Lepisosteus oculatus: one gene and its partners. The protein of the gene in region 1 purifies or fractionates together with the protein of each later gene. This does not show direct contact. Links are inferred from orthologs where the notes say so. Each region holds a gene or a part of one and is shown in the gene's direction. Other genes may lie near its edges. The genes, in order: polr2g, med1, rprd2a and gtf2b.

Region 1 (7,306 bases):
TTTGAGCAATCTTTGAAGCTGTCCAAATGGGCAACTAGATCCTTTACCTGGAATAGCTGTAGCTCTGCTGAAGGCCGCGGGCTCTCGGCTGGGCGGGAGAGGACCAGCCCAGCTGCTGACCGGCCTGCTCTCTCCCTCCCTGCAGCAGACTGGTTCTCAGCAGGGGCTGACCGGCCTGCTCTCTCCCTCCCTGCAGCTGCGGCGCTACTGCTCCACCCTGCTCTGCCTCCTCCCCCCCCTGCTGCTCCTGCTGGGGGGGGGCGGCCTGTTCCTGTGGCCCTCTGGGAGGCCGGGGCTGGCCGGCGCCCTGCTGGCGCCGCTGGACCTGGACTGGCTGTGGGCCGGGGACCTGTGGGCACGGCAGGAGGCCTGCGGCTCCGACTGCAGGTAGGGACGCGCGGGCGCTGCCTCCACATCCCAGGGATCCTGCTTGCTCCCCACCCCCACCACTCTCTGTGTGAAGACGTGCCTGTGGCCCTTGTTTCTCTGCGGATCCAGACCTGGGTGCTGTCAGAGAATTGGGTGACTCTTGCTGCGTGTGTGGAAAGTCTGTGCTACTGTGCTAATGACCTGATATGGCATTTATCTGGAAGGCCACAGAGTCCCAGTCGCCGTTGTACGCAGTATAATTGTAAATCCGTTAAAAATATCGAAGATCGTGCTGCCGCTGATACTGAAATCAGCAGATTGGAACGTGTCAGTCTCTGTCCCTCCTGGTGCAGCCTGTCCCTGCTGGAGAGCCTCCCTGAGGGGCTGGAGTACCCCCCTGGCTCCCCCCGCCTGACCCCCATCTCCCAGGCCTGGAGAGACCTGCTGCACAGAGCCAACCACAGCGTCAGCATCGCAGCCTTCTACCTCACACTGAGGGACACCGACCTGGAGGCCTCCGAGCCCAGCGCACTGGAGGTGAGTCAGGGAGAGGGCTTGGAGCACTGGAGGGGAGAAGGGAGAGGGCTCGGAGCACTGGAGGGCAGGCAGGGAGAGGGCTCGGAGCACTGGAGGGGAGTCAGGGAGAGGGCTCGGAGCACTGGAGGGCAGGCAGGGAGAGGGCTCGGAGCACTGGAGGTGAGTCAGGGAGAGGGCTCGGAGCACTGGAGGGGAGTCAGGGAGAGGGCTCGGAGCACTGGAGGGGAGTCAGGGAGAGGGCTCGGAGCACTGGAGGTGAGTCAGGGAGAGGGCTCGGAGCGCTGGAGGGCAGGCAGGGAGAGGGCTCGGAGCACTGGAGGTGAGTCAGGGAGAGGGCTCGGAGCGCTGGAGGGCAGGCAGGGAGAGGGCTCGGAGCACTGGAGGTGAGTCAGGGAGAGGGCTCGGAGCGCTGGAGGGCAGGCAGGGAGAGGGCTCGGACGCTCGGAGCACTGGAGAGAAAGAAAGACTTTCAGCTGCACTAGTCATGTGGGCAGAAGGTTAATGAGCTGTCCCTTGTGTGTGTGCGGCGCAGGGGAAGCGTGTGTTCGAGGCTCTGAGGGGCCTGCCAGCTCGAGGGGTGGGCCTCAGGATCGCCGTCAACAGCCCCCAGACGTACCCCAGGGACACGGACGACCTTGCGCTCGCAGGTAGGAGGCCGCACCCCGCACCCCACCCCCAAGCCTGCTCACAGCCCCTGGGGGAAGGCTGCGCGAGTCTGATCCCTGTCCCTCCCTCTCCCTCTCTGTGTGCGCAGGCGCGGAGGTGCGCCCGGTCTACCTGCAGAACCTGACCGGGGGGATCCTGCACACCAAGCTCTGGGAGGTGGACGGCCAGCACGCCTACCTGGGCAGTGCCAACATGGACTGGCGCTCCCTCACACAGGTGCCTCCCTTCCGGCTCATGGCCTGCCCGCCCCCCTGCAGGAGACCGGCTCTGTAACTGGCCGTCTGCTCTCCCGCAGGTGAAGGAGCTGGCCGTCTCGGTGACGAACTGCAGCTGCCTGGCCAGAGACGTGTCCCGGCTGTTCCAGGCGTACTGGCTCCTGGGCTCTCCAGCAGGGGGCGCAGTGCCCGCGCGCTGGCCCCGCCGCCTCAGCGCTCTGTCCAGCGCACAGCGCCCCCTGCAGCTGCAGCTGAACGGGCTCCCGGCGCAGGTCTACCTGTCGGTGAGGGCCGGCCGTCGGACAGCGCTCGTGCGTGACTGAATTTGTGTGCATGCTGCTCCTGACTCTCTGCCCGCCCACTCCCCCGCAGAGCGCTCCCCCGCCGCTGTCCGCGGACGGCCGCACGGACGACCTCTCGGCCATCCTGGGCGTGATCTCGGACGCCCGCCGCTTCGTCTACGTCTCGGTCATGGACTTCCTGCCGGCCTCCCAGTACACTGAGCCGGCCCAGTTCTGGCCGCCCATCGACTCAGCGCTGCGGGCGGCGGCGTGCGCGCGTGGCGTGGAGGTGCGGCTGCTGGTCAGCTGCTGGCCGCACTCCGACCAGCCCATGTTCGTCTTCCTGGAGTCGCTCGGCGTGCCGAACCACCCGCCCCTGAGCTGCCGGCTGCACGTGGTCAGTCCTCTCTCTCTCTCTCTCTCTCTCTCTCTCTCTCTCTCTCTCTCTCTCTCTCTCTCTCTCTCTCTCTCTCTCTCTCTCTCTCTCCCGCTGTCCGAGCGGTCTTCCCCCTCCCCGGCCGGGGCCTCACCGTGCTCGTCCTGTCCTCTGTCTCTGTAGAAAGTGTTCGAGGTGCCCTCCACCGAGGAGCAGAAGATGATCCCCTACGCCAGGGTGAACCACGCTAAGTACATGGTGACGGACAGAGTCGCGTACATAGGTAAGCAGTGCCTTGCCTCGCTGAGCCCCGCCCCACCCTGAGGCTGACTGGCCTATCACAGCCCTGCCCTGAGCCAAGCCTCACTTAACCCCTCCCCCCCGTAGGCTGGCCCTATCACAGCCCTGCCCTTTCTTAGCCTTGCCCCCCCCTCCCCCCCCTGCAGGCCAGCCTCTCAACTTTTCATTTCGTCACGCTCAGCCTTGTACCACACTGACGGTGCCCCGTTCTCTCCCCCCTACCCCCCTCGCGTAGGGACATCCAACTGGTCGGAGAATTACTTCACCCACACGGCGGGCGTGGGGCTGGTGGTGAACCAGACGGGGGCTCCAGCCGGGGCAGGCAAGCGCAGCGTCCAGAGTGACCTGCAGGCCGTGTTCGAGAGGGACTGGGACTCCGGCTTCGCTCAGCCCCTCTCCTCGGAGCCCGCCCACCTCTGCGGAGCACGGGAAAGCGCATAGCCCCGCCCAGCTGGGGGGCAGGGGGGGCACCGTCGCTCGTCTGCTTGCAGCAGCTTCCTGCGCTGCCAAAGCCACACAGCCAAAGCCTGAAGTTGAAACGGAGGAGAGACGCTGGAGTCCTTGTCAGCGAGAGTGGACACCAGGGGGCGCGCTTGATAGCCGTGTGTGTGGAGCTTCTGTCAGAGGGAGTCTGGGACACACACTCTTTGGGCCACGAGGTCCTAAGGATGGATAGTCAGTGTGTGTGTCCCAGGCTCCCTCTGACTGGACCAGTCCTCCCTCGCAGACGAGGCCCTGGACTGGCTCGGGTCGGGTCGGGTCGGGTCGGGCTGCGCTGTTCTCTCTCCACCTTGAGGGAGGTGGGCATGGGGGAGGGTTTCAGTAATAAAAGAAATTGCCTGGGTGGGGGGGTTGATTTTGATCTAATCTGTTCTGAAATGCTGAGTGAGCTGCAGCTGTAGATGTTCGTACCGCAGCGTGTTTGAAGTGAGAGCTTTGTTCGATGTTGATTTTTATTTTTTTAGGAATGGGTTTAGGATTATTTTACGGTGTGAATGCTTCTGCCTGGGTAGTGGATCAAAGCCATAATGAAGCCTCTACAAGAATATAGCAGCGTCCTCGCTGATCTTATTTTGCCTTGCATCCTTCTTAAATTATTTTTATATTTTCTGTTGCCAAATGATATGTGTATATGATGGTTCTTGTATGCACACACCTATCAAAGCCATGTAAAGCCTTTTTTAAATAAAGTTGCCTTCAGTACTCGGAAAGACGGTGTGGCTGTGGAGAGTGAACAGGAACGGTGGAGGCTGGGGTGGCCCTGGGGTCGGTGACGGAACCCACCCTCTCACTGCCTGACCTGAGAGCCAGGCCTGTGGACAGAGGGCTCAGGTCAGCCTCAGACGCCTACAGTTCTACCCATCTGACGCGTTAATTATACTTGCTCACATGAGCCTTGATAATGCTCTACGTTTTACGGCTTTAGTCGTTTGTGGGTAATACATAAACTGAAGAAATAAGGCATAACATATTTCCCTAGATGGGCCCTCTATGTAGACTAACGTGAAAGCGCTCCAGGACTCCAGTGTTAGCACCGCCCCCTCGGATGACGTAGAAATGCTGAGACGGAAACGGAAAGGCGGAGTGAGCGTCGGCGCTTCATTCGTGTTGTAGCGTTGTTGCTTTATTTATATTCGTATTTGTGTAATTAAATTGGGTTTAAAGGGGTTCTCCTTGTGGAAGTGGGACACGATGTTTTATCACGTAAGTAGCTGAATCGTTAATTTCCGCGGTCACGTAGCCTGGCGGCTCTGACTGGGGGAGAACGCTGGGCTCAGAAACGCAAGAATATTCATATTTCATTTTTAAAGTGCAAAGTTCGTCTTTGCCGGAATATTTTATAGCAGGACTGACAGAAATAAACATATTTAAGTGTGCGCAAGTGAACGCGTCTCCATTCTTGCCTGTCGACAAACGTTTCAATGTGAAAGGTTTTATTTTTAGAAATAGAAATGGGAATGCTTCATTTCACCGAACCTGCTTATGAGTTTCTCTATCCTCCTGATCCGCTATGTGTCTCCCAGCTGGCGGTGAATTGGGTCTCTCCTGTCTGGGGAGACTCCTGGGGAAAGTGCGGTGTAAATACAAGGAACTTGCTAAGCGCTGGTCACATGGTGCAGCTGGCGCACCTCACACCAGAGGTTTAGAGGATTAATCACTGCCTCCTCCAGCACCTGCTGAGGTGATGTCGCGTCCTTGTTTGACCGTCTTGTGGAAGAGCCGTGCAACAATTATTTTTAAAAAGTGGGCAGGTGCCCTGGTCTCCCGCTCTGTAACGCCTGCCTCCCTCCCAGATCTCCCTGGAACACGAGATCCTGCTCCACCCCCGGTACTTCGGCCCCAACCTGCTGAACACGGTGAAGCAGAAGCTGTTCACGGAGGTGGAGGGCACCTGCACGGGCAAGTGAGTGAGCGGGATCGCTGCAGTCCGCTCCGCTCCGCTCCAGGTCTTCCCTGCGGCGCAGGTGCTGACGGCCCCCTCTCTCTGTCTCTGTGGCAGGTATGGCTTTGTGATCGCTGTGACCACCATCGACAACATCGGCGCCGGCGTGATCCAGCCTGGCAGGGGCTTCGTGCTGTACCCGGTCAAGTACAAGGCCATCGTGTTCCGACCCTTCAAGGGAGAGGTGGTGGATGCTGTGGTCACTCAGGTCAACAAGGTCAGGACAGAGCATGGAGACCTCCTGATGGCCTGTCTCTCTCTCCCCTTCTCATCCATCTCTCCTTTCCTACCTTCCTAATCACCTGTCTCTCTCTCTCTGCTCTCTTCAATCGTCCTAATGGCCTGTCTCTCTCCCCTTTCTTCAATCGTCCTAATGGCCTGTCTCTCTCTCTCTGCTCTCTTCAATCGTCCTAATGGCCTGTCTCTCTCTCTCTGCTCTCTTCAATCGTCCTAATGGCCTGTCTCTCTCTCTCTGTCCTCTTTTCTACCCTCCTGACGGCCTCCTGACAACCCGTCTCTCCATCTCCTAGGTGGGGCTGTTCACAGAAATTGGACCAATGTCGTGTTTCATCTCTCGTCACGTGAGTACCGGACCCCTCTTCCTCTCTAGTCCCGATGCTCGGCCCTGCTTCCTGTTTCCCTCTCTGCTGCGACTTGGAAGTCTGTCCCAGCTCTCCCTCCGGCGCTGCAGGACGGTAACTGTTGCTCTTGTGTTCACAGTCCATTCCTTCAGAGATGGAATTCGACCCGAACTCCAACCCTCCCTGCTACAAGACGGTGGACGAGGTGAGTCTGGGCTTGGGTTTAACAAGGAGAGGCGCCGCCCCCCCCTCTCTCTCGCTGCCCGCTATTGCAGAGCTTCTGACTCCCCGCCGCTGGTCGGTCTGTCTGTCTGTCCCGTGCAGGACATCGTGATCCAGCAGGACGACGAGATCCGGCTGAAGATTGTGGGGACGAGAGTGGACAAGAACGACATCGTGAGTGTCTCTCTCTCTCTCTCACCCCTCCCCCCCATCTCTCGTGCTCCCGGTAACTCCCTCCCTCATGTTGTTTTTCTCTTTCAGTTTGCAATTGGATCCCTGATGGATGATTATCTGGGTGAGTCCTTCAGTCAGTCATTCCAGCCACTAGTGTTGCAGCATTGTGTGCTGTCTGTCACTGTCGCCCCCTAGTGTCACTGGACTGGGATTGCAGCCCCCAGTGTACCAGACTGTCCTACTGAACTGGAGCCCCCAGTGTAACAGGACTGTCCTACTGGACCGGAGCCCCCAGTGTAACAGGACTGTCCTACTGGACCGGGACTGGAGCCCCCAGTGTACCAGGACTGTCCTACTGGACTGGAGCCCCCAGTGTAACAGACTGTCCTACTGGACTGGAGCCCCCAGTGTAACAGACTGTCCTACTGGACTGGAGCCCCAGTGTAACAGACTGTCCTACTGGACTGGAGCCCCCAGTGTACCAGGACTGTCCTACTGGACTGGAGCCCCCAGTGTACCAGGACTGTCCTATTGGACTGGAGCCCCTAGTGTACCAGGACTGTCCTATTGGACTGGAGCCCCCAGTGTACCAGGACTGTCCTATTGGACTGGAGCCCCCAGTGTACCAGGACTGTCCTATTGGACTGGAGCCCCCAGTGTACCAGGACTGTCCTACTGGACTGGAGCCCCAGTGTAACAGACTGTCCTACTGGACTGGAGCCCCCAGTGTAACAGACTGTCCTACTGGACTGGAGCCCCCAGTGTAACAGGAGTGTTTTGGCCTTTAAAGATGAACCTCACTGTTGCTTGAATGAAGGAATGATCGCTCTCTCTCCGTCTCTCTCCAGGCCTGGTCAGCTGATCCTGCTGCAGAGGAAACTGGAGAAGAGAAGAGATCTATTTTTATAAGTGTCTGGCATCAACCCCCACCTCCCCCACACGAACCCCGACAGCGCAGCACCCCCACGAGAAGCTGCGCCCCAACTCTGCGGCCCCTGCGGGGGGGGGGGGTCAGGGTGTCACGGTTCCGGAGCACGAACCAGTCTGGGGGTGCAGCTCTCCCCAGACTGCGGGCCGAGAGAGCTGCGTTCTCTGGCTGCCCCTGCCCCTGCAGGTGACTCAGCAGGTTCTTGCTGGAGTGC
Region 2 (7,334 bases), on another chromosome or scaffold:
CAGCTCTTTACTCAAAACAAAACTACCCCAAGTTTAGACCCTTACAGAGAATAACACTATCACAGTTTTGATTGCTGGCACTGATCAAAGGGAACTACAGCATGCCAGTCATCAATATTACAAGTTTGTTATTAGCTCTGCCTTTTAGTCAGAGTTCTTAGGACTTTTTGCACCCTTTCCCGGCTGCTTCGAGATGGAGAAAGGGCTGAAAGCATAATTTGAAAAACTGAAAAAAAACACAATCTAGATGCAACCACTGATGGCCTGCTGCCATCTTGAGCGAGCACACGACACTTTTACACGAGAAAGAGGACTGACACTGCAACACTTGGTGAGCAGAACGCTGGTCTTGCCGTTTTGCATTTTCCAGCTCTGTGCAGCACACTGCGGCCTCCGAAATTACTGAAGCGCTGTGCTGGTGCTTTCACTTACAGCCAAACAAGAAAAGTGAAAGACTGTTGCTCTGGCCTACCTCAGGAAACAGACAGCTGCTGTGGGCAAATGAGGAAGAAATTGCGCCCAGGATTACAAATCCACACTTTGCCCCCAGCCCCATACAGGGCCTTCCGAAACCTTGCGCTCCTGTGCGCAGAACGCTCTGAAGGCCCTTTTGAGCCTTCAGAAGCTACGAAAGTAGACAACACACCCTAGATTTACACATGATCAGCTCGGTATACACACTCATTTCACGTCAGTAAACTGATATACATCCGTTTGGTCTACTCTACATCCTCTTGAGAACTTAAGACACGCCAATAATATCATCAGCAGCTCTCCTGTAGGAAGGAGCCCTTTTCCCAAATATTATGAGGACCTGGCAGCCCTGATGGCAGCTTCCCCTTGGAGTTGACGGGTGGCCGGAGAGTTAGGGTCAATCTGCCCTGCATTGTGGGGCAGAGCACTGGACCTGGCAGGCCGGAGAAGGACTCAAGAGAATGGGGGTCGGATCCAACCCGAGCCTCTCACCCCCTTCTTCACCACAAATTCCAACCTGAGTTCTCGGGTCACCCGTGACCCTCACCCCCCAGAAGCGTGGCGCGGGACTCACCGTGACACCGGGCTGGCGCTGGAGGAGCGGCGGTTGCCGTAGGGGCTGACGGAAGAGCGCCTCCTGCTGGGGTAGGGGCTGCTGTCCCGCTCGTAGCTGGAGGAGCGGTGGCGGCTGCCGTAGGGGCTGTCGGAGCGCTGCCGGCTGCGGCGCCCCGAGTCCCGGTAGGGGCTGGGGCTCTGCGGCGGGGGGGCCCGCCGCCGGTGGTGGTGGTGATGGTGGTGGTAGGCGTCCTCTCCGCCGTCCGGGCCGTACCCACCGCCGGGGGGGCTGTCGTTGGCCCCCCGCTTGGGGCTGGGGGACTGCGGGGCGGCCGCCTGCTTCCTCCCGCCGCCGGCGCCGCCCCGGGACGAGGGCTTGCCCTTGGGGCTGGCCTTGTAGCTCTTGGAGGACTTGCGGCGGTCCTTCTGGGACGAGCCGCGGGACTCCCCCCGCTCCCCGCGGCGCTGTAGCTTCTCCTTGCGGGACTTGCCCGACCTGCCGCCGCCGCCGCCGCCGCCCCCGTCCTTGCTCCGCGAGGAAGAGGAGGAGGAGGCCGTGCTGGTCCCGGTCCCCAGCAGGGCCTGGGCCGCGGAGGAGGGCAGCGACGACGCCAGCTTGGCCCCCACCTCCCCCTCCAGCAGACCCAGCCTGGTGGAGCCGGGGCTGAAGGGGGCCGAGGCGGAGGCAGATGTCTTCTCCTTCCCGCTCTTCCCCGACGTCCCTTTCTCTCTGTCCCGGCTGCTCTTCTTCTTCGAGCTCCCCCCTCCTCCTCCTCCTCCACCCCCCCCACCACCCGAGTCCTTCACTTTGTGAGGGTCCTTGGACTTCTTGCGGGGGTGCCGGTGCTTGTGGCCCCGGCTCTCCCCGGACACCCCGCCGCTGCCCCCGCCCCCTTTACCGTAGTCCGAGCCGCCGTCCAGGCGCTCCCCGCCTCGCCGGTCCACCGCCGACCTCGCCGCCGGCGGGTCCGAGAAGGTGTCGGAGTCGGAGCTGATGTCGTCATACTCCACCAGCGGCTTGATGGCGCTCACGGCTGGAGGCGCCGCAGCCGCCGCCGCCGGGCCCAGGGTGGCGAACGCAGCGGCCGGGCCCTGGCCCTGGCCCAGCGCCGAGGAGGAGGAGGAGGAGGACTCGCGGCCGTGCTTGGAGGACTTGTGCCGCCGGCGCTTGGAGGAGGAGGAGGAGGAGGAAGACGACGCGATGAGCTTCCCGTCCTTCCCCGTCACGCAGCCCGCCTGGGCGCTGGAGTGCGGCGGGAGCAGGTGCTGGAAGGCCCCGCTGTTGCTGCCGGGCGGCAGTGAGACGCTGGCGCTGGGATCCGGCTTCCTCCTGGTCGACCCATGTTGTCTGTCTGAACCGGGCATCCCTCACGCTAGCAGCGGCGCTTCTCCCAAATGCGGGCCTCTGCAGCCGAGGCGATGCATTAAAGGGCGAATAGTACCTAAAAAAGCACCAGGAAAAAAAAAAAGATTCAATAAAAACAAAAATTCAGATCGTGTTCTCCGTCCCGAACGCTTAATCCGAGTTCATTCCGGCTAGGTCAGCGCGGCTTGGGTCCGGCGTTTTGGTTTTCCTTCAAAGGAAAGATTTTTTTTTTTTTACGAAGAAACAAAACGAAAAATAGACATAATAGGCGGATGAGCGTGTAGTTTCATAGCTGATTAAATCAAGCAGAGGTTTGGTTTAAATGAAGTCGTTACAATCGTGCTGTCTCTCTCCTCGTTTCTCAGTTTTACTTGTGCTGTTATTTTTTCTTTTGTAAAAACAAAAAGAAAAAAAACAACACCTCTTTTGGTTATCCCCCTCGCCCTGTAGCAGGCTTCAGGGAAGGTGCCTTGATTCCTTCAGTTTACGGTCTTGGAGTTCGGAAACAGGCATAATCCATGATGAATGGGCGATATTGTTTCACAAAACTGAAAATGAAAACTTGAACCGGTTGGTACTGTTTACATGTTCGGTTTTATATAGACAATCTTTTAATCTCTTTATATTTGATATTGGTCAGAAATGACAGTATATTCGTGTGCAGCAGATGTTCTAGTTTATTTTGAACGGCCTTGAGAGTCTAACAGGCCTGTATTGAGGGCGATGTTTGCGGATTTAGAACACCCACTGCCCCTGTTGCTAAGACGAGAGGACAGACGCCATTGTGGCTCCTTCTAGCAGGTTGAGCTTCTGTCCTCGCTCTCTCTCCCCCAAGCCGAAGCCGGAAGTCTCACTTGCTGTCAATCTTCGTCGTCACCGGGCAACAGCCTCTCCAGAGCGACGCTCCGCCCTTATCCTCTCACGGGCTGCAGTGCCACCAATTAACCTCTAGGTGGCGCGTCACGAAGAGACCGGAGAAACTCCACAGGTTGTGAAAAGTTCAAATGCACTGAGGTGCAAGTTTTTAAACGGGAACTTGTTCGCCCTTATAACAAACCATGCACAGATGTAACCAGCTCACGTGTTAATCTTTAAACGGACAGCAGAACCTCCTTGTGCTCGAAATCGTTTTATAAATTACGTAGGCTATCAATGGGTATACGTAACGTCTGCCACAACACAAAACCACGTTACTAGTAAAACACTATTTGCTTTTAGACGTCCGTAACTGATGGAACGCACAGCACAAATGTTTATTACATATAAATAATCAATTACGCAATCCATAAACACTTTGTGCTTTTAAATTAAGAAGGTACCAGAGAGAGGCGTTTTTTTAAATACGCAAACGCCGATAAAAGTCAGCTGAACTTAGATTGTACGGTACTTTCATTACATATTTATTACGCAATATTATATATATTGATGCATTATCCGTTGTGCTCTTGTCACTTAATTCTTCCTGTTCTATAGGTAAATCATTACTCTTTGAACAAAACTCTCTGCAGAACTTCTTGGCGCTTGTAACGCTCAGAAGACCAAGCACGTAACGTTTCCTAGTACGTTGTATTCTACACAACCAACACACCTGAAGAACAAATGAAAAGTTGAAACTACTTCGGACCGGAGACAGGTTTCAGCCACGTTTCTCGAGGTTGTTGGGGGATGCCCGGCCGGATCCCCAGTAAGAAACCAGACTGCATCGGATAGCACACGCACGGTATATCTTTGGATCTGCAGCTCCGCCTTTATTATTTTAGAACTAACAGCAGCAGCATCTGCAATGGCTTTCAACACAGATTAGATTTTATTTATAAAATCTGCCACGTCCTTATCGTCGCCGGGGGCTTCTTGAAGAAAAGTCCTTCAAAGCAGAAAAACGATTGATCCGCAGTTACAGCACCTCCACCCTCGTTTGCTCGGTCCGAGTCGCCTCCTGATGACGCCACAACCCCGCGCCCCCCCGCCCCCGGCAGTCTTGTCGGAAACTCTACCCTGCGCGACGGAAGATTTTTATATTGAAAATGGCGGCGGTTTCTGGGGTTGTTATATCGGGTTGTAGCCCAGCGAGAGAACTCGGGCCCGGGGCACCGACCGTTGGGCCCCCTACGATCGGGGATCGTCCCAGACCTGAGGAGGGGACAGGTAATGACGTGCTCACGGGGGAAATCGGGGGTCGACAGCAGATCGGCAGAGCTACAGTATCGCGTTCTCGCTGATCTGTTACTGTATTGCGTTGAGATCTTGAGAATATTATTTAGAAATTATGAATGGAGCGCCAGGGGTTGGACCGGAGCCAGTGAAAATCACCTTTATATACCTTTTCGCCTTTTTTCGTTTTCAAAGAAAAGAGTCATTGAATTATTGAAATTGCAAAAAAATAAATAAGACGATCTCCTCCCCCTTTATGAGTTTTTGATTTCATTTTGATGTCAGGCGTGTTTGCTTTCCATTTGGATCTACGCATATCTTGGCTGATCGCTCCTCTGAGACATACCCTTAATCATAACAGTGTCACATCGTGCTGAGGTGGTCCTGAAACCCTACCTGAAAGCTCTTTGATCTGCACTTCCATAACGCTGTAAATCGCCCTGCATGCGGAGCAGGGAGTTTTGGGGTCCGTGCCAGTGGGTTGCCGCGGCTTTTACAGCTGTATGTAGTATACCTGTTGTTCTTCCTCTGAGATAAGTTTGTCAGTTTTGTGTAGCCTTGTGTACCAAATGCCTAGCGGTGTGTGTTGCCCTGTTTCCTGTGGGAGTGCTCTGTGTGTGTGTTGCCCTGTTTCCTGTGGGAGTGCTCTGTGTGTGTGTTGCCCTTTTCCCTGTGGGAGTGCTCTGTGTGTGCGTGTGTTGCCTTTTCCCTGTGAGAGTGCTCTGTGTGTGCGTGTGTTGCCCTGTTCCCTGGGAGAGTGCTCTGTGTGTTGCCCTGTTCCCTGGGAGAGTGCTCTGTGTGTGTGTGCGCGTGTGTTGCCTTTTCCCTGTGGGAGTGCTCTGTGTGTGTGTTGCCCTGTTCCCTGTGGGAGTGCTCTGTGTGTGTGTTGCCCTGTTCCCTGTGAGAGTTCTCTGTGTGTGTGTTGCCCTGTTCCCTGTGAGAGTGCTCTGTGTTTGTGTTGCCCTGTTCCCTGTGAGAGTGCTCTGTCTGTGTGTTGCTCTGTTCCCTGTGAGAGTGCTCTGTGTGTGTGTTGCCCTGTTCCCTGTGAGAGTGCTCTGTGTGTGTGTTGCTCTGTTCCCTGTGAGAGTGCTCTTTCTGTGTGTTGCCCTGTTCCCTGTGAGAGTGCTCTGTGTGTGTGTGTGTGTGTGTGTGTGTGTGTGTGTGTGTGTTGCCCTGTTCCCTATGAGAGTGCTCTGTGTGTGTGTGTTGCCCTGTTCCCTATGAGAGTGCTCTGTGTGTGTGTGTTGCCCTGTTCCCTATGAGAGTGCTCTGTGTGTCTTCCTAACCCTGTGCCCTCTACGCCCTTCAGAGGCAGAGAAGCAGAGCAGAGTCGGTGCCCTACTGGAGAGGCTTCATGCCAAACACTGCGCCTCCCGGCCATGGCAGGAGACCAGCAAGGTGGTGCGGCAGGCTATGGTGAGTGAGGGAGAGGAGGGTGGAGCTCATAAAGGCACCAGGACATGCGGGGGGGAGTGGGGGCAGAGAGAGGGCACCGGAGCAGACCTGCCCCCTTCCTGGGAGGAAACCATGATTTCAAGTCAATCTCCAAAGAAGAGAAAGGCCAGGCTAGATGTGTGTCTTTCCCCCAGAGCTCACTGCTCAATGTGGACTGTCGCATCAATCATGTACTGAAGATTGGATCAAATATTCTCTCTGTTCATGAATTTAGATCTAAAGGGATTTATTCAGGATAGACAAACTCTTGACAACATTAGACATTCTCTTCACATTACAAAACACCAGTGCTCAAAAGATAAGAGCAATTTTGGTTAGTCTGGACGAGTATTAGTATAATTATATTATATATATTACAGTTTGAACAGTTATTACTGTTATTAGATTGTGGTTAGCCAGTTTCTTTTTGAGGCCCTCCTGGAGAAATATGGTTGTATATCTGGATATAAACTAGACGTTGAAAAAGCAAAAGTTGTATCTTAGAATTCAGATCAAATAAGAGAAAATTGTGAGAGCAGGAGCAGGGAGAGAGAAGAGGGATGGGGCAGGATGGGGAGAGCAGTGTGGGGGAGATAGAGGGCTCAGGACCCGCTGCTCTTGGGGGGGTCAGCCCGAAATGTTGGGAGGACTTGGTACAGAAGGGCGAAGGTCATGCTAGTGCAGTCAGGGGGTGTGTATTACAGGGGTATTGTGTGCATTTTAATAGGCCTTCAATCTCTCTTTCTCCCGCCACCCAGGAGAAGCGCAATGTGTTGAATGCTGGGGGACACCAGCTCCTGCTCACCTGCCTGGAGACGCTGCAGAGAGCCCTGAAAGGTGAGGGGATTGGGGTGTGGGGGAGGGCTGATTGTGTGGAGCTGATCAGGGCAGCGGTACAAGTTACCACACAGCTGGCATTGCACAGAACAGTGCCCAGAAGCGGGCCCTGGCAGGGCGTGGTGGGTCAAGCAGAGTGCACCTGTGTGAATTCCTTCATCTGCCATCTCAGAATTCCTTCTTTCCAAGCTTATGATAGTTAAAGAGTTTTGAAAAAGATGTTTATATCTCTGGAATTCTACAGAGCTGTACAGGAGGTATTCAGACTCCAAGGAAATGCAGTCCGTTAGTCACACCACACGCTGTGAAGGAGGGGACAGCCCAGCACTGGCAGACTCCCTTTACCTTCTATAGCTCTGCATCTCTTCCCAGTGAGGTCCAGGTAAAATCTGGGTGCCTGGACTGGAAAAGAACCGCTCGATGTTAGCCTTCTCCGGGCGAGAGTGGGTTTGCTATCGGGGAAGGAGGAATGGGCAGAGGTGACGAACTGATCCAGGGGTCGGGGTCGGCTGGTGTG
Region 3 (7,006 bases), on another chromosome or scaffold:
GGAGGAGGAGGAGGGGTGAGGTGAGGGAGGAGGAGGAGGGGGAGGGGCCAGGTGAGGGAGGAGGGGGAGGGGCCAGGTGACGGAGGAGGGGGAGGGGCCAGGTGAGGGAGGAGGAGGAGGGGCCAGGGGAGGGGGAGAGCCAGGTGAGGGAGGAGGAGGAGGGGCCAGGTGAGGGAGGAGGAGGAGGGGCCAGGTGAGGGAGGAGGAGGAGGGGCCAGGGGAGGGAGGAGGAGGAGGAGGGGCGAGGTGAGGGAGGAGGAGGAGGAGGAGGAGGGGCCAGGTGAGGGAGGAGGAGGAGGAGGAGGAGGGGCCAGGTGAGGGAGGAGGAGGAGGGGCCAGGTGAGGGAGGAGGAGGAGGGGCCAGGTGAGGGAGGAGGAGGAGGAGGGGCCAGGTGAGGGAGGGGGAGGGGCCAGGTGAGGGGGGAGGAGGAGGAGGGGCCAGGTGAGGGAGGAGGAGGGATGAGGAGTGGGGGGGCAGGTGAGGGAGGAGGAGGTGGAGGGGCCCGGTGATGGGGGGGCCAGGTGAAGGAGGAGGAGGGGCCCGGTGAGGGGGGAGGAAGATGGGGGGGCCAGGTGAGAGAGGAGGGATAGGAGGGGGACAGGTGAGAGGAGGAGATCAGGTGAGTGCACAGGTGACTGTAACGGACTGTCTCTTAAAACACTGTCATTCTCGCAGAATCCGAAACCTCACGAACCCCGCGAAGAAGTTCAAGGTGGAGGCGAACGCCAACCAGCTGTACCTGACGGGCACAGTGGTCCTTCACCGGGACGTGAACATCGTGGTGGTGGAGGGAGGTGAGCAGGGGGGCGTCTCCCGGCCCAAGGGGGGCAGGCGGTCAGTCGGTCGGCCAGTGACCAGTGAGTTCATCTCCCCCCCCGTCTCTCCTTCCCGCAGGTCCCAAAGCGCAGAAGAAGTTCAAACGGCTGATGCTTCACCGGATCAAGTGGGATGAGCAGACAAACTCCAAACGGGATGGTGAGCGGGGGTAGGGGAGAGGGAAGAGGGGGACAGGGGAGAGGAAGTGGGGGAGGGGACGGGAAGAGGGGGACAGGGGAGAGAGGTGAAGGGGCGCTGTGTCTGTGCAGATTGTCCTCGTGCCTCTCGGGTCTCCCTACGGTGTGACCTTGATTGTCGCTCCGTCTCCCTGCAGATGCCGAGGGCTCGGACGAGGAGGGGCTGAAGAAGAAGAATAAGTGCTCTCTGGTCTGGGAGGTGAGTGCCCGTCTGTCCTCCCGTCTGTCCTCCCGTCGGCACCAGACCCGGAGTCCCGGCCTGTCTCATGCCCTGTCCCCTCTCGCAGGGCACGGCCAAGGAGCGCAGCTTCGGGGACATGAAGTTCAAGCAGTGCCCCACGGAGAACATGGCCCGGGAGCACTTCAGGAAGCACGGCACGGAGCACTACTGGGACCTGGCGCTGAGCGAGTCTGTGCTGGAGACCGCCGAGGACTGAGAGCCTGGGACTGCTGGGAGAGAGGGGCTGGCAGACTAGCACTGCTGGGCTGAGAGGAACTGGGAGACTAGGACTGCTGGGCTGAGAGGAACTGGGAGACTAGGACTGCTGGGGGACAGAGAGACTGGGACTGCTGGAGAGAGGGGGACTGGCAGACTGGGACTGCTGGGCTGAGAGGAACTGGGAGACTAGGACTGCTGGGGGACAGAGAGACTGGGACTGCTGGAGAGAGGGGGACTGGCAGACTGGGACTGCTGGGCTGAGAGGAACTGGGAGACTAGGACTGCTGGGCTGAGAGGAACTGGGAGACTAGGACTGCTGGGCTGAGAGGAACTGGGAGACTAGGACTGCTGGGGGACAGAGAGGCTGGGAGACTAGGACTGCTGGGGGACAGGGACTGGGACTGCTGGAGAGAGGGGGACTGGCAGACTGGGACTGCTGGGGGACAGAGGGACTGGGACTGCTTGGGGAGAGAGGGACTGGCAGACTGCGACTGCTGGGGGACGGGGGACTTCGAGACTAGGACTGCTGGGGGACAGAGGGACTGGGATAGAGAAGGACTGGGAGACAGTGAAGACTGGGAATATTTGGAGCATGACAGTCTGGGAGGACTGGAAAGACTGCTGAGGACTGATAGACTAGGAATACTTGGGATAAGTGAGGGATTGAGAACAGGAATTGGAGAGACTGGGAGACAACGCAGGAGACCACAAGGAGTTGATTATTAGAGTTGATCCTTCCCATTTTCTCAACTAGCTGCAGTCTAATCCATTCCAGGATTTTTTGGGGGACAGAATCACTACCAGGACTGCAAATGTGATGCTTGCTGCCTTGTTTTGAGACCATAGCTCATCATCAGATATATCGAGTTAATATTAAATACTGTGTGTATATATCTTTGTTTTTCTATTTTGTAAGTAACAATCTGCACAAGAGCCCTGCAGTGGATAAGAAAACTTGGAGTGGATCAGACTGCTGTGCACTGGGAGTCTGACTGGCAGTACTGTAAAACCTGGAGTGGATCAGACTGCTGTGCACTGGGAGTCTGACTGGCAGTACTGTAAAACCTGGAGTGGATCAGACTGCTGTGCACTGACAGTCTGGCAGCGTAGTGCTAGGAGAACTCTGAATCCTGTTCTGAGAGTTGACCGTTACAGTCGTTTCTGTCTATCTGTTGTCACATTTCACCATTATTATTGTGGACTGACTGCTCTGTACAGTCAATGGAATGACATTGTAAAAGTGTACATATTTTGAACAAAAACAATAAAAATTGAAAAAAATGCTGGGTTCTTTGTTTTTGTTGAGATGTTTTCCTGTTTGACTAATCATGTGTTCTTGGAGAGCTACAGTCCCAGTCCCGTAGAACAGTCCCGTTACAATAGGAGCTACAGTCCCAGTGCAGTAGAACAGTCCTGTTACAATAAGAGCTACAGTCCCAGTGCAGTAGAACAGTCCTGTTACAATAGGAGCTACAGTCCCAGTGCAGTAGGACAGTCCTGTTACAATAGGGGCTACAGTCCCAGTGCAGTAGGACAGTCCTGTTACAATAGGGTCTACAGTCCCAGTCCAGTAGAACAGTCCTGTTAAAATAGGGGCTACAGTCCCGTTACAATAAGAGCTACAGTCCCAGTCCAGTAGAACAGTCCCGTTACAATAGGAGCTACAGTCCCAGTGCAGTAGAACAGTGTTACAATAGGAGCTACAGTCCCAGTACAGTAGAACAGTCCTGTTACAATAGGAGCTACAGTCCCAGTGCAGTAGAACAGTCCCGTTACAATAGGGGTTACAGTCCCAGTCCAGTAGAACAGTCCTGTTACAATAGGGGCTACAGTCCCAGTCCAGTAGAACAGTCCCGTTACAATAGGAGCTACAGTCCCAGTGCAGTAGAACAGTCCTGTTACAATAGGAGCTACAGTCCCAGTACAGTTGTCATTTTGCAATAATAGTTTAAATATATAGGTAGATCGGTTTTAACAGGTGTCTTCACCGTGCGATCTTAATAGCCGATATGTAACACGGATTCATCCGTTGACATTTCGATGAGTTTTGAAAAGCAGCCTTAGTTCTGATGAAGTTCAAGTAGGGAGCTGCCTCAGCATGCGTAAGCTGCGAAGGGACAAGTAAAGGTTTATTCCATGCGGAAGACATGGAGGGTCGCAGCAGAAACACACCTCTTTTCAGCATGGAATAAACATTTACTTGTTTCTTGGTATTGATGTCGTTTTTTTAGGCTTGAACTAAACGCGAATCTCTCAGAATAAAATGTCCCTAAACGTGACCCGTACATTTTGGAAGGTACTATTTTGACATGGGTTCGTATAAAATTAAACAGATGCAGGCTGCCATCACATTTTAAGTAGAAATACTAATAAAGCCTAGGTGTGTTGTTATTTTTCTCTTTTATAATAGGAAACCTGTATTGGAGGGGGGCTAGACAAACGATGTCTCCAGAGAAGCTGACAAGTCTGAACGGTCCCCCCCCGCTTCTCTCCCGGAATGGCGCCGCCGGGCCAGCGGGGACGCGCGCGCGCGCGCCCGGCGCCGAGAGGGAAAGTGCTCAAGGTGGCGGAGAGCCGTGTTGTTTGGGATGTGGAACTGGTCTGCCGCCTCAAACGCGAGACACAGCAAAATAAACTTACGGAGGAGTAAGAGCGTTGAGTCGTAGCAAAGAATCGGTAATAAAATAAAAAAATGCCAAATAAATCGAGAGAGAACTGGTGTAGCGATCTTATCTGTACAGTAGACCATGACTGCATTGTTTTGGGTTCCTTAAGCGAACTCGGAGGTCTCGGTGCTGCGAGCTCCGTGGAGTCTTGTCTTTTCTCTGAGTGACTCTTACCCCATTAAAAAAAAACATTTAACAGCGTTTTAAAGAAACAAACCGACGCGCTGAGGCGGCGTCTGTCACAGGCGCTCAGCGCTCGGTGACGTCCGTAGGAGAGCAAGAGGTGACGGTTGGGCTCGAGGACGGGCAGGGGGGCTCGTGTAGCCCGGCTCCCTCCCTCCCGCCGGCGGCGGCGGCACAGGATATCGACAGATATCGGCTGGATCCATAGCTGGTGATGTCGGCAGCGAGGGGCCGTGTCGCTCTTTAGGGTATAAAGTGGAGACACGTGCGGCGTTGTCAGCCTCGCGCTGCAGTTCAGTCGTCAGAACTTGTATCGGGCGCGTTCTGTGACGCACGAGCGGGTGGACCGAGACTGTTTTTTAAAAAAAAAAAACGAACGGCTCGAGTCCACGGCGACCCGGCCGCGCGCGGGAAAGAGCCCGCTACGACCTGAGCGCCGGGAACGGGCCCACCGCCGTGCGGGACTCATTAATAATCGCTCGGACTCAGGCCGCTCTCTCTCTTTTCTTTTTTTTTTTTGGGGAGGGGGTGAAACGACACAAACAGGCATAGGCTCGCCCCCCACTGGCGGAGAGAGGGCGCGCGTCCCCGCTCGGCGGCGCTGTGACCGGGTGAAGCGCGCGTTCCCGTCGCCCACGGCCGAGCGCGCTCCCGAGCAGCCTGGCCGACTGAGTGCGAGAAAGATGGCGGCTGGCGGAGGCAGCGGCCGGGGCTCCTCGGCTTTGGAGTCTTCGCTGGACCGCAAGTTCCAGGGTGTCTCCAACACCATGGAGTCCATCCAGAGCCTGTCGACCTGGTGTATCGAGAACAAGAAGCACAACGCCGTCATCGTGCGCTACTGGATGAAGTGGTTGCGGAAATGTGAGTATCCCGGGGCTGGCCGGGGTTATATAATGCGGTGTCCCCCGCTTCTCCATCGGCGAGCGTGTCTGCGGGACGGGCGCTGGGCCGGGAGCGGTGTGCGCACAGGCCTGGCGCTGTGTCTGTGGGCTGGGTGGGATTCTGCAGCAGCAGTGCGGTGTCATTGAGGAGCCCACCGCCCGCTCAGGTGTGCTGGGGAGGTGGAATAGCTGTTGGAAAGTGTCTCTCCGGGGGGCTGGCCTGTGGCCTGTGGCCCCCCTGTGTGTCTCTCCGGGGGGCTGGCCTGTGGCCTGTGGCCCCCCTGTGTGTCTCTCCGGGGGGCTGGCCTGTGGCCTGTGGCCCCCCTGTGTGTCTCTCCGGGGGGCTGGCCTGTGGCCCCCCTGTGTGTCTCTCCGGGGGGCTGGCCTGTGGCCTGTGGCCCCCCTGTGTGTCTCTCTGGGGGGCTGGCCTGTGGCCTGTGGCCCCCCTGTGTGTGACTCTGGTTGGGGGGGCCGGCTTGTGGCCCACCTGTGTGTGACTCTCTGGTTTGGGGGGGCCGGCCTGTGGCCCCCCTGTGTGTGACTCTGGTTGGGGGGGCTGGCCTGTGGCCCCCCTGTGTGTGACTCTGGTTGGGGGGGCCGGCTTGTGGCCCACCTGTGTGTGACTCTCTGGTTTGGGGGGGCCGGCTTGTGGCCCACCTGTGTGTGACTCTCTGGTTTGGGGGGGCCGGCCTGTGGCCCCCCTGTGTCTCCCTGGTGGTGGTCCTGCAGTGTTGCTCTCGGAGGCCCTGCGGCGCACAGGGTGTTTCTGGGTGGCTGCTGAAGTGCCCTGTCGGGGGGCCTTGCGGTGGGTCTGGGGTCCTGTGTGGGGAGTCCTGTTCTGTAGACCCTGGCCATAGCACGCCAGCTGCCTTCCCGGGTCCGGCCAGGACCGGCCCGGTCCGTTTGGGTCCGGCCGTGCTCGGTTCGCTCCCAGGAGGAGCGGACACAACAGGAGGCAGCTTACAAACTGGATCCCTGGATCTCACCCAGCTGCGTCTTTAGAAACACCAGGGTATCGGCTAGGCAGCTTGTTCCACTCTCCCACAACTCTTGGGCTAAAGAATCGCTGCCTGTTCTCTGTTCCAAACCTTCCCCAGGTTATCTGACCCAGTGGGAGTTGGCATTCACACTTCAATTTATGTCAGTAATAGCTCTGCTTCTGATGAATAAAACCTGGATTTTGGCTGTTATATGTGAAGATTAATACATTTAAATGCGCCTCTTACCGTTGAGTGTGATCCTTGCTGGGGAAATATCTGTATTGCTGGTAGCAAATCCGTCAGGTTTAACCAGAAAAAAAAACATCGGGCCAAAACATTGGAAATCCTGCCGTTTCTCGCAGGTAGACTCCAAACTTTGGAACACGGCTCGTTCTTGACGATGTTGGAAGTAGCGGCCGTCTCCCGCGAAGAACCGGCTTCAGTGTTTTGAAAAGGCCCCTGCCGGTCCGATCGGCACCCTGCGGACGGAGGGCGGGTGCGTTCGTTCGCGTGGCGATGTCGGCTTTTCCTGTGAAAGCAGCAGGCGGCCCCCCCCTTAACAAATAATGCAGCAAAGAAACCAAGTGAATCGTCTTGCTCTCCTTGGGTGGCGTGCTGTGGAGAATTGCAGCACAGCCCAGCGCACTGTTTGGCACTGTTTTAGCTTGGTTTCTGAAAGATGTGTACTGCATGCGCTGCTCTCCTCGCTCGTGCTGTTAAAAGCCCCTCTGGGTGCCGGTGCCGGTGCCGTAGGTGGCCGACTCCTGGTGTAGACGCTGTAACAGGCGGGAACAGTCTTCATCGGAAGCAGCCTGCTTGAGCCCGGAGATTCCCTCTTCCTGC
Region 4 (7,708 bases), on another chromosome or scaffold:
ATGAGCCGCTGAAGACATCACACCAAGCGAGTTGTAGAAAATCAGGTCGTGTCCCTCAGTCGTTCTTCCCCTAGTGGCATCATGAGAAAAACTGTTTATAAATCAGGGGAGCTATTCAGCCCACCTGGCCCAATGTGGTATTGCAGTTAGTAGTTACTGGAATCGATCCCGTGCAGCCATTGCGTCGAGTCAGCTTCAATAACCTGGCCAGACAGCTTGTTCCACACTCCCACCACCCTCTGTGTAGGGAAGCGTCTCCTCCTCTCGGTTTTATTGTACTTCTGCTCAGTGTTTCCGCCTATGACCACAGTGCTCCCGTCGGACAGTTGAGGGAGGATGAAGGGGAAAGTGATCTGGCCTTGCACTGATTTTTGTGCTCTTGCGACTGAGAAGGCCCCATGTCTGCCCCGCAGGAGGCCGTGGCTCAGGGCCTGCTACTGGACTTCAAGCGCATGGGTGACCCCGACTGCTACTTCTCGTCTCTCGCCCGCGAGCTGGAGGGCAAGAGGGATCGGATGGCCGGGATCCTGGAATCCGCTGGCATGAGACCCGTCGTTCCCGAAGGCGGCTACTTCATGCTCGCGGACGTGTCTGCGCTGGGTGAGTCGGCTGTTCCACCGGGGTTTTCGGGAACGTGTCCTGCCCTTCTGGAAAACTGTCCCAGGCTCACATAGCCGCAGATCAGTGAGGGCCACTGTTTCCACGTCGTCATGGGGGGGGGGGCTTTGGGCTCATCACAGACAGGTTGTGGGTTCGAGTCCCTGCTGCAGACACTGCTGTTCCTTCAGTGAGATACTTCAGCCCAGTTTCTCCCGTCCTCCCAGCTGTATAACTGGGCACCGGTACTGCTGGGGTGTCATCCCTGTGATGGACCAGTGTCCCGTGCTGGGGGAAGTCGCCAGCACTCCAGACCAGTAGACACTACAGGAGCTGGGATGAGCTCTGTCCCAGTGAGTCACTGTGGCCCTGGTGTGAGCCGTGAGTTCACCTCTAGAGCCTCTAGGGCAAAGAGCTTGCACTCGCAGTCTGTGTGAGCCCCTTACACACACGTTTCCCAGATATTTGTATGTCATTTTTAGTGAGTGAAAAGAGGGAATTGGATTACATACACTGCTAGCATATTTCCCCCTCAGCTTCATAGTACATTAGACATGTGATGGGTAAAACATTTAATCAGCAGTGAATCAAAAATCTTATGACACAAGTGGAAATTATGTGCATTTAGGGGACAGATCAGGAGACCCGTCTCTACACAAAGGGTGGTGGGTGCTTGGAACTGGAACCCCTTGCCCATTTAAACTGATTCCAACAGTTCTGACACAGGACAGCTGGCTGAGAACCTCAGACCAACGGGTTACGAGTAGCAGCAAACACAACGGGCCACACTGCCGCCTTTAATCTGTTCTTCTTACAAAAGCTATGACAGTGTTTGGGCCCTGTTCTGACTGCGTTTGCTCACAGAGGGGAGGCAGGGCCCTGGTACGAGAGCTGAAGAGCCCAGTGGTGCTGGGAGACTGATCTCGGCAGAAGGCAATGAGTGTGAAGAAAACAGACAATGAGCTCTTCTGTCCAGCAAAGACAAGAGCTGTCGCAGTTCAAGACACTGCGTACTGACAGGACTGTGTCACAACGCTGACTTTGTTCACATCAAACAGGACTCCTTATTCTACACATTGAAGGAACAGTAATGCACAGCAACTTGTGTTCTGTTGTCAGTGTAGTGTAGTGATGAAGGGTTTTGTTTTAATTTTAATAAGTAGCATAGTGATTTTTTCCCAGAGTTAAAAACTGTACTTGTGGTCCGAGGGCTGGGACAGACGGCTAATCTGTATCGAGCATGGAGAGCACATCACAGCACCACCAGGGCTCTAGTTCCTGACTTCCCTTGCCTGTCCAGCATTCCTGCTCACAGCGTGGGAGGGTAGAAGTGTGCAGAAAAGTAGTCCAAGAGTATGGAAGTGTAAAGAAATTGGTGTGAGGAATGTGCTCTGCACAATGACCGTTCGCCTTAAACGTGATACACTAGAGAGAAATGGCCTGCATGACTTCTTCTTGTCCGTGAGCCGTCTGGTGGATTCTGAGCACTGCAGAGCCTGTGTCCGAGCGTGACAATGTTTTCTGTCTGCGCAGACGTGGACCTGTCTCACGCAGGAGACGACGAGCCGTACGACTACAAGTTTGTGAAGTGGATGATCAAGGAAAAGGTACAGCTCTTTCCTCCTGCTGTGCTTGGGGAGTGCTGAGTGTGTGCTTTGTGGGAGTTTTCCACAGCGGCAGTGAGTGCCCATACCCAAAACAAATCAGATGAGGCAGACCCTACCGCATGAGCAGGCAATTAGGATGTTATTGGAGTCACAGAAACCTGGGGCCCTTCTGGACTTTTTTTTCTTTTCTCTTCCAGAAACTCGCAGCTATTCCAATGACTGCCTTCTGTGGAGAAGAGTCTAAGAAGCAGTTTGAAAAATACATCCGATTCTGTTTCATCAAGGTAGCCTGCTGCTTTTCTGCCTTTATGAAGGCATCTTTCCCTGGGTGTCCCGAGCAAGTCTCCCCCTGCTGGCAGCACGCCTGTCCTGCAGGCGATGGGCTGCCTGGCGTGGTCTCCTGTGGCCGGGCTGAGACTGGCCTGTGGGCAGTGGGAGTTTCCCTGAGGGTGGCCGAGCAAGACGAGACAAGGCCTTGCTTTCTCACGGTCATACCTCTCTTGTAGGATGAACTTAAATTTAAACAGGCTTCTGTTTAAAAAAGGTTTGAAAAAACGTTAAAGGCAAATGCCAAGACAGGAACTTGTTTTTGTCTGAAGGCAAATGGTAGCAATGGTAAAGGCTGCTGTGTGCAGGCAGTTTAAGCACAATAAACGTGCCGTGTGTAAAACGGCAAATCAAAGCTGAGTGACCTTCATGATGGCCGTATTTCTTCTTATTGGGGGACACCAGAATGGTGGCCCTGCTCATGGCTTGTCAGGACTTCAGGCCCAGGCCAGTTGTATTGAATATGACTGACACAGTACAGCTGATCACCTGAATTCCAGTTATCCGTTTAGGCCAGCTTGAAATGAATGGATACTGATCCCGCTGGCGAGTTTTGTAGAGTTTGAGCATTGCGCTGACTTTTTGTTTTCCCTTATTTTGCAGCGAGACGACACGTTAGATGCAGCAGAGGAGATTCTTAAGAACTGGAACAGAGCGGCGCCTGTCTGATAGTGAAGACCTGGCCCTGGCCCTGGCCCGGCGCCGTGTTAGCTATCTTGCAGGGAATGTTACGTTTTGAATTTGATGATGCGTTGAATTTGAGCTAATTGAAACATTTCAGTATTGCTGTTTTGCATCACCAAGTTTATTACCGTGATGGTTTGAGTATTTCTGTGTGATGCAGTGGCCTTTTCCATTATACCATTAAAGCATTTTTTCCTGCAAGTGCTACTTAAAGTCTTTTATTATCCTGCGTTCGGCATTTCCCCTGTCTTCTCCTCAAGGTCCCTGCAGTTATCTCTGTCCTGTGAGGTGGTTTTCTCCTGGAGAGGAGCTCGTATCTCACCCTCATGCCGTTTAAAGGACATTTAATATACAGGTCTTATCTGTCGGAAACTAAGAATGTGTTGAAATGCTTTCCTGTTCCTAAAAATGGGAAATAAAAAGAAACGTCAGTTCAGAGTTATTTACACAATTATCACAGCAATCTTATTATGAGAGACTGATTAAATTAAATTTTACGAAAAGCTTGTTGGAGTTGGATAAGACCACTTTATTAGCCATATACAATTTCTTGCATCAGGAATTTCTTTTCACATGAGACACAGACAGATGGACAGGGAGAGAAGCTGGGGGTCAGCCATTTATACGGCGCCCCTGGAGCAGCTGGGGTGAAGGGCCTCGCTCAGGGGCCCAACAGAGTAGGATTTCTCTGCTGGCCGCAGGATACGAACCGGCAACCTTCCAGCCACAGGCGCAGATCCTGAGCCACAGAGCCACCGCTCCGCCTCTGCATTCAGGAAGAGAAGGACCGTAGATACGGTTTGGGCAGCGAGGGGGTTTGAAATGTGTCGCTCCTGCCGTGTCTTTGAGTCTGTGTGCCGACGGAGCTGAAACGTGTTGAGCTCTGAGAAGGCTCGAGGCGCAGGAACAGACCTCCGCCTGGACCTTCGGAGTATTTTGATATTTGAAATCTTTTTTCTTAAAACCTTCTCTACCCTGACTAAATCTATGCAAGTGAAAAATAATTTCTGCTCGTTATGAAGTTTTTATTGTCAAAGTTTGTTTTTTTTTTAGCTGTGTCTGCGAATTATTTTAATCGTTCCATTCGTTATTTTTATCTTTCTATTGCCTTTTAGAAAGTCACTCGAAAGTCAAAGCAGCGTACTTGATCGTATTGTCTGCGTCAAATAAATTAAAGTAGTTAATGTACTTTGGACAAAATGCGGTAAAAAATGAAAAAATAAAGATTTTTATTCACGTACGAAATGAAAAACCTTCATTGTATGCCTACCGCCTGTCATTCCGTAAAAGTCAAAGTGGTAAAATGGCGCAGGATTCATGACGTGCATTTGGAGTTTAAAGTCTCAGATTTGTATTACATGCAAATGGAAGTGGTATTGAAACTTCAATTATGATGTTTTTTTTTATTTGGAAATTTGCACGACAAAGGGAGTGATTAAGGACGTGTATGAAGTTTGGGCCTCTCGGCTGCCCGTACGCTCTCGGGCACGTGACGAGCGAAGCTATAAATAGAGGTGGGGCGCAGTGCGTGTCCGCAGTCGCTGTTGGTGAGCTCGACTGAAGGCAATATGGCGTCTACTAGCCGGTTGGTATTTTTTAATCATACGTTTCTGTTGTTTCTAAGGTCTTGTGCGGTAAACAAGACAGGGGCGGGGGGGGAGATAAAAGTATCGAAAACAAGCTCGGAAGGGGTGCCATTAACGGGGGGCCGGCGGTACTGGGTGTTTTTTCTGCGTTTCGGGGTGAGCCGGAGGCGTGTTGGGGGCGCCGTGAACAGTCAGCAGACTCGCCGGGGCCGCTTGATCCCCTCTTTGTGTCTGAAACAAACCTGCCCGTGGGACCCGGCGTGTGCGTGGGCGCGCACACGGGGGTGCTTGGTCGAAACTGCGTGGCGAGCGGGATTGAGGCGTGTTGGCTTAATCTCTGCCTTGCCCTCCGTGCGCGTCGGCTCGCCTATTGTCTGGCTTGCCTGCGTGGTGCGCACCGCGGCTGCCCGGGATGCGCGTTGATTTCACTCTCGGGCAGGCTGTCCGGCTGTCAGTGCGGTGAGATGACCGGCGGGGGTGCGAGTTGGGGGAGCGGAGAGCGATGACAGAATCGAAACCGGAGCTGATGTACCGACAGGGCCCCACTCACCCCCCCCCAGCACACCGCCGCTGTACAGACACCCCCCCGCCAGCGCTCTCGGTGCCCCTGTGTTTCACTTCTGACCTGCTTTGACGGCAGGTGTTCTCTAGTATCAGACGTGTTTTATAGTTTCGGGAAAGAGCATATTTCTAGCTTGAGCTTATTCACGAGAGGGAGGCTTCGGTTCAAACACGGAACGTGAGCTCTTTCCATTCCGTTCTTATTCACGATGCACGGCGCTACGCAGCAGTGTGGGTTTTGGAAACCTCAGAAGTAAAAGCCACGGAGGCGCAGTGGCCAGCGGTGCTGGGGCCCCGGGCTGCTGTCTGTGTGGAGTCTGTATGTTCTCCCCGTGTTCATGTGGATTTCCTCCCACAGTCCAAAGCCATGCTGGTAGGTTAATTGGCTTTTGAGTAAAACTGGCGTCTCGTCTAGGGTGTATCTGGCCTTGTGCCTGTTGCTTGCTGGGATAGCCTTCGGCTGCCCTGCCAGCCTGTCTTGGATAAAGTGGTTAAAACATGGATGGATGTGCAGAAGTGAAAATATGGGACGAATTGTCTTGGAACTGTACGCCCTGCGCTTGGTTTAAATAGCATGGAGGTTTGGAACAGTTTGTTCCACTACTTGTCGATTTCATAGACCTTATTCTCACCTGTTTGTGTGTCATTGTTACACTAGTCGTCCTTTGATAGGACTCCCGCTGTTACAAAGCCTGTAACTATCATCTGGGTTAGCCAGCATGTTTACAAAAAACAACACGGACAATATAATCGGCTCTGAAGTTCTTCCAAAGGTTTGCTGCTAAACAATTCTCTGGTCATATCTGGCTTTCTGATCTGCAGTAGGACACAGTGTACTTTGAAAGCCATGCTGTGTAGTTTTTGTTCTAGGAGTATTTTGCAGGGAAACTAGGGTAATTGTTTTATCAGCTAAGTAATGAAGCTCGTAGTCAGTCCACGATGGCAGAGCCAGACACATTAGTTGCATCACTGTCAAATTGTTAGGAATGAGATTTTGCACTTAATCAGAAACACATTTTACATCGATAAGAATAATTCTAGATAGTTGTACAGCTGTTAATAAGCTAAAAGACTTTGTATACTGGCAGCATGCGTCAGGAATCATTTTAAAAGTTTCTTTATAGAAACCCTGTGTCCAAGTTTTTCGTGCAGCTCGTGCACCTTCTTGAACTTCAATAGAATGGTTTTCACAACAAAACTTCAAAAATTAAGCTACTTACGTTTCGTTTCTGGCACAGCATCTTGAAGTTTTTCAAAAGCGTTTATAATTTCGGCCTCATTTACAAGTTGGTGCTGTACAGTTGGGCCTCTATCAGACTTGCGCTGAACTCCAGCACCGTCGCCTCTGACCGAACTGGGAAGTCGGCGGTCAATCCTGCGCAGGTACACCTGGCCGAGCACTGAGGTCCGTTTGCTACCTGGAAGTTTCCCTGGAATTTCCTGTCATAACCTCCGTCTCAAGGCAATGCTACCCTGTCGCTCTTCGTTAGTGGGCAGGGACAGAAGTGTTCCCTGTTGAAGACCTGCTAGACCACTGCGTGTTGAAATGTTCTGGCTGTGGCGGTGCTGCTACATGTGGTAACGGCGTGTTCCAGCGGGTTCTCTGTTGGTCTGACATGTGGTTGCTTCTCCGCAGTGGAGATGCCCTTCCCAAGGTCCAGTGCCCCAACCACCCCGATGCCATGCTGGTGGAGGACTACCGGGCCGGAGACATGATCTGCCCCGAGTGCGGACTGGTTGTGGGTAAGACAGCGAGGCGCGCGTCGTCGTTCGGAAGCCAGAGAGCAGCAGGCTCTGTCACAGTAAAGAGGCTTTCGGGCATCGACAGGCTTTGACTTGACTGCCGCGGCCCTATGACATCACTTCTGGTGCGCTGGGTTTTGATGCGCACGGATTCAGGCAGTACAGGAAAATGAAAGCTACATCCGCCAACTGGAGAACAGAATGTGTCCATCTTCTAACCATGACTAAGCGTTTTTTTTTTTTTTAGATTTAGGCTGACTATATCAGCGGTTCGGGTCACGGGTCCTCTTCGACTGGGCACACTGTCAAAAATCTGTTGGTCTGGGGTTTGAAGTCATTTCATTCTTAAGTGGTTTATTTTTTATCATTTAAAATCAACATTTGGTCAGCCAGTTGTGTGCTGCAGCTCAGGGAATCCTGGTTGTTTTAATACTAAGCATTGGTGCTTTTGACTGTCTGGGTGTCTGTTGACCATCATGGCTGCCCAAAGCGGCTCAGAGCAGGTGTGTCAGGAGGGCTCTCCCAGGTGAGCTGACACGAGCGGTCAGTGGTGTCGGGGATCAGATATTCTTCCACTATCTGGAGGAATGGCTTGATAATCTC

Evidence for each region.
Region 2: the proteins of polr2g (region 1) and med1 purify together in Homo sapiens (affinity purification with mass spectrometry; 3 studies listed by BioGRID and IntAct, with this or other methods). This does not show direct contact. The link is inferred for Lepisosteus oculatus from reciprocal best matches to the Homo sapiens genes POLR2G and MED1.
Region 3: the proteins of polr2g (region 1) and rprd2a purify together in Homo sapiens (affinity purification with mass spectrometry; 3 studies listed by BioGRID and IntAct, counting the BioPlex papers as one, with this or other methods). This does not show direct contact. The link is inferred for Lepisosteus oculatus from reciprocal best matches to the Homo sapiens genes POLR2G and RPRD2.
Region 4: the proteins of polr2g (region 1) and gtf2b purify together in Homo sapiens (affinity purification with mass spectrometry; 3 studies listed by BioGRID and IntAct, with this or other methods). This does not show direct contact. The link is inferred for Lepisosteus oculatus from reciprocal best matches to the Homo sapiens genes POLR2G and GTF2B.

What each region holds. Positions count from the first base shown.
Region 1 is NC_090713.1:22,714,385-22,721,690, forward strand, and holds the start of polr2g (DNA-directed RNA polymerase II subunit RPB7), read left to right. Parts: upstream 1-4,293; 5' UTR 4,294-4,436; coding exon 4,437-4,448; intron 4,449-5,038; coding exon 5,039-5,148; intron 5,149-5,244; coding exon 5,245-5,404; intron 5,405-5,717; coding exon 5,718-5,768; intron 5,769-5,907; coding exon 5,908-5,973; intron 5,974-6,092; coding exon 6,093-6,164; intron 6,165-6,251; coding exon 6,252-6,285; intron 6,286-7,012; coding exon 7,013-7,026; 3' UTR 7,027-7,306. Other genes in the region: pld7 (5'-3' exonuclease PLD4), read left to right, coding at 146-387, 723-906, 1,439-1,553, 1,661-1,788, 1,868-2,071, 2,160-2,465, 2,628-2,727, 2,980-3,185. UniProt on the Homo sapiens protein: Core component of RNA polymerase II (Pol II), a DNA-dependent RNA polymerase which synthesizes mRNA precursors and many functional non-coding RNAs using the four ribonucleoside triphosphates as substrates.
Region 2 is NC_090723.1:5,851,317-5,858,650, forward strand, and holds the start of med1 (mediator of RNA polymerase II transcription subunit 1), read left to right. Parts: upstream 1-4,324; 5' UTR 4,325-4,419; coding exon 4,420-4,540; intron 4,541-5,855; coding exon 5,856-5,962; intron 5,963-6,738; coding exon 6,739-6,817; intron 6,818-7,334. Other genes in the region: cdk12 (cyclin-dependent kinase 12), read right to left, coding at 1,049-2,394. UniProt on the Homo sapiens protein: Component of the Mediator complex, a coactivator involved in the regulated transcription of nearly all RNA polymerase II-dependent genes.
Region 3 is NC_090722.1:7,118,628-7,125,633, reverse strand, and holds the start of rprd2a (regulation of nuclear pre-mRNA domain-containing protein 2a), read left to right. Parts: upstream 1-3,989; 5' UTR 3,990-4,129; intron 4,130-4,827; 5' UTR 4,828-4,985; coding exon 4,986-5,163; intron 5,164-7,006. Other genes in the region: prpf3 (U4/U6 small nuclear ribonucleoprotein Prp3), read left to right, coding at 677-795, 896-976, 1,152-1,213, 1,302-1,451.
Region 4 is NC_090704.1:1,108,632-1,116,339, reverse strand, and holds the start of gtf2b (transcription initiation factor IIB), read left to right. Parts: upstream 1-4,693; 5' UTR 4,694-4,783; coding exon 4,784-4,800; intron 4,801-6,998; coding exon 6,999-7,105; intron 7,106-7,708. Other genes in the region: kynurenine--oxoglutarate transaminase 3, read left to right, coding at 414-600, 2,131-2,204, 2,402-2,488, 3,135-3,200. UniProt on the Homo sapiens protein: General transcription factor that plays a role in transcription initiation by RNA polymerase II (Pol II). Involved in the pre-initiation complex (PIC) formation and Pol II recruitment at promoter DNA.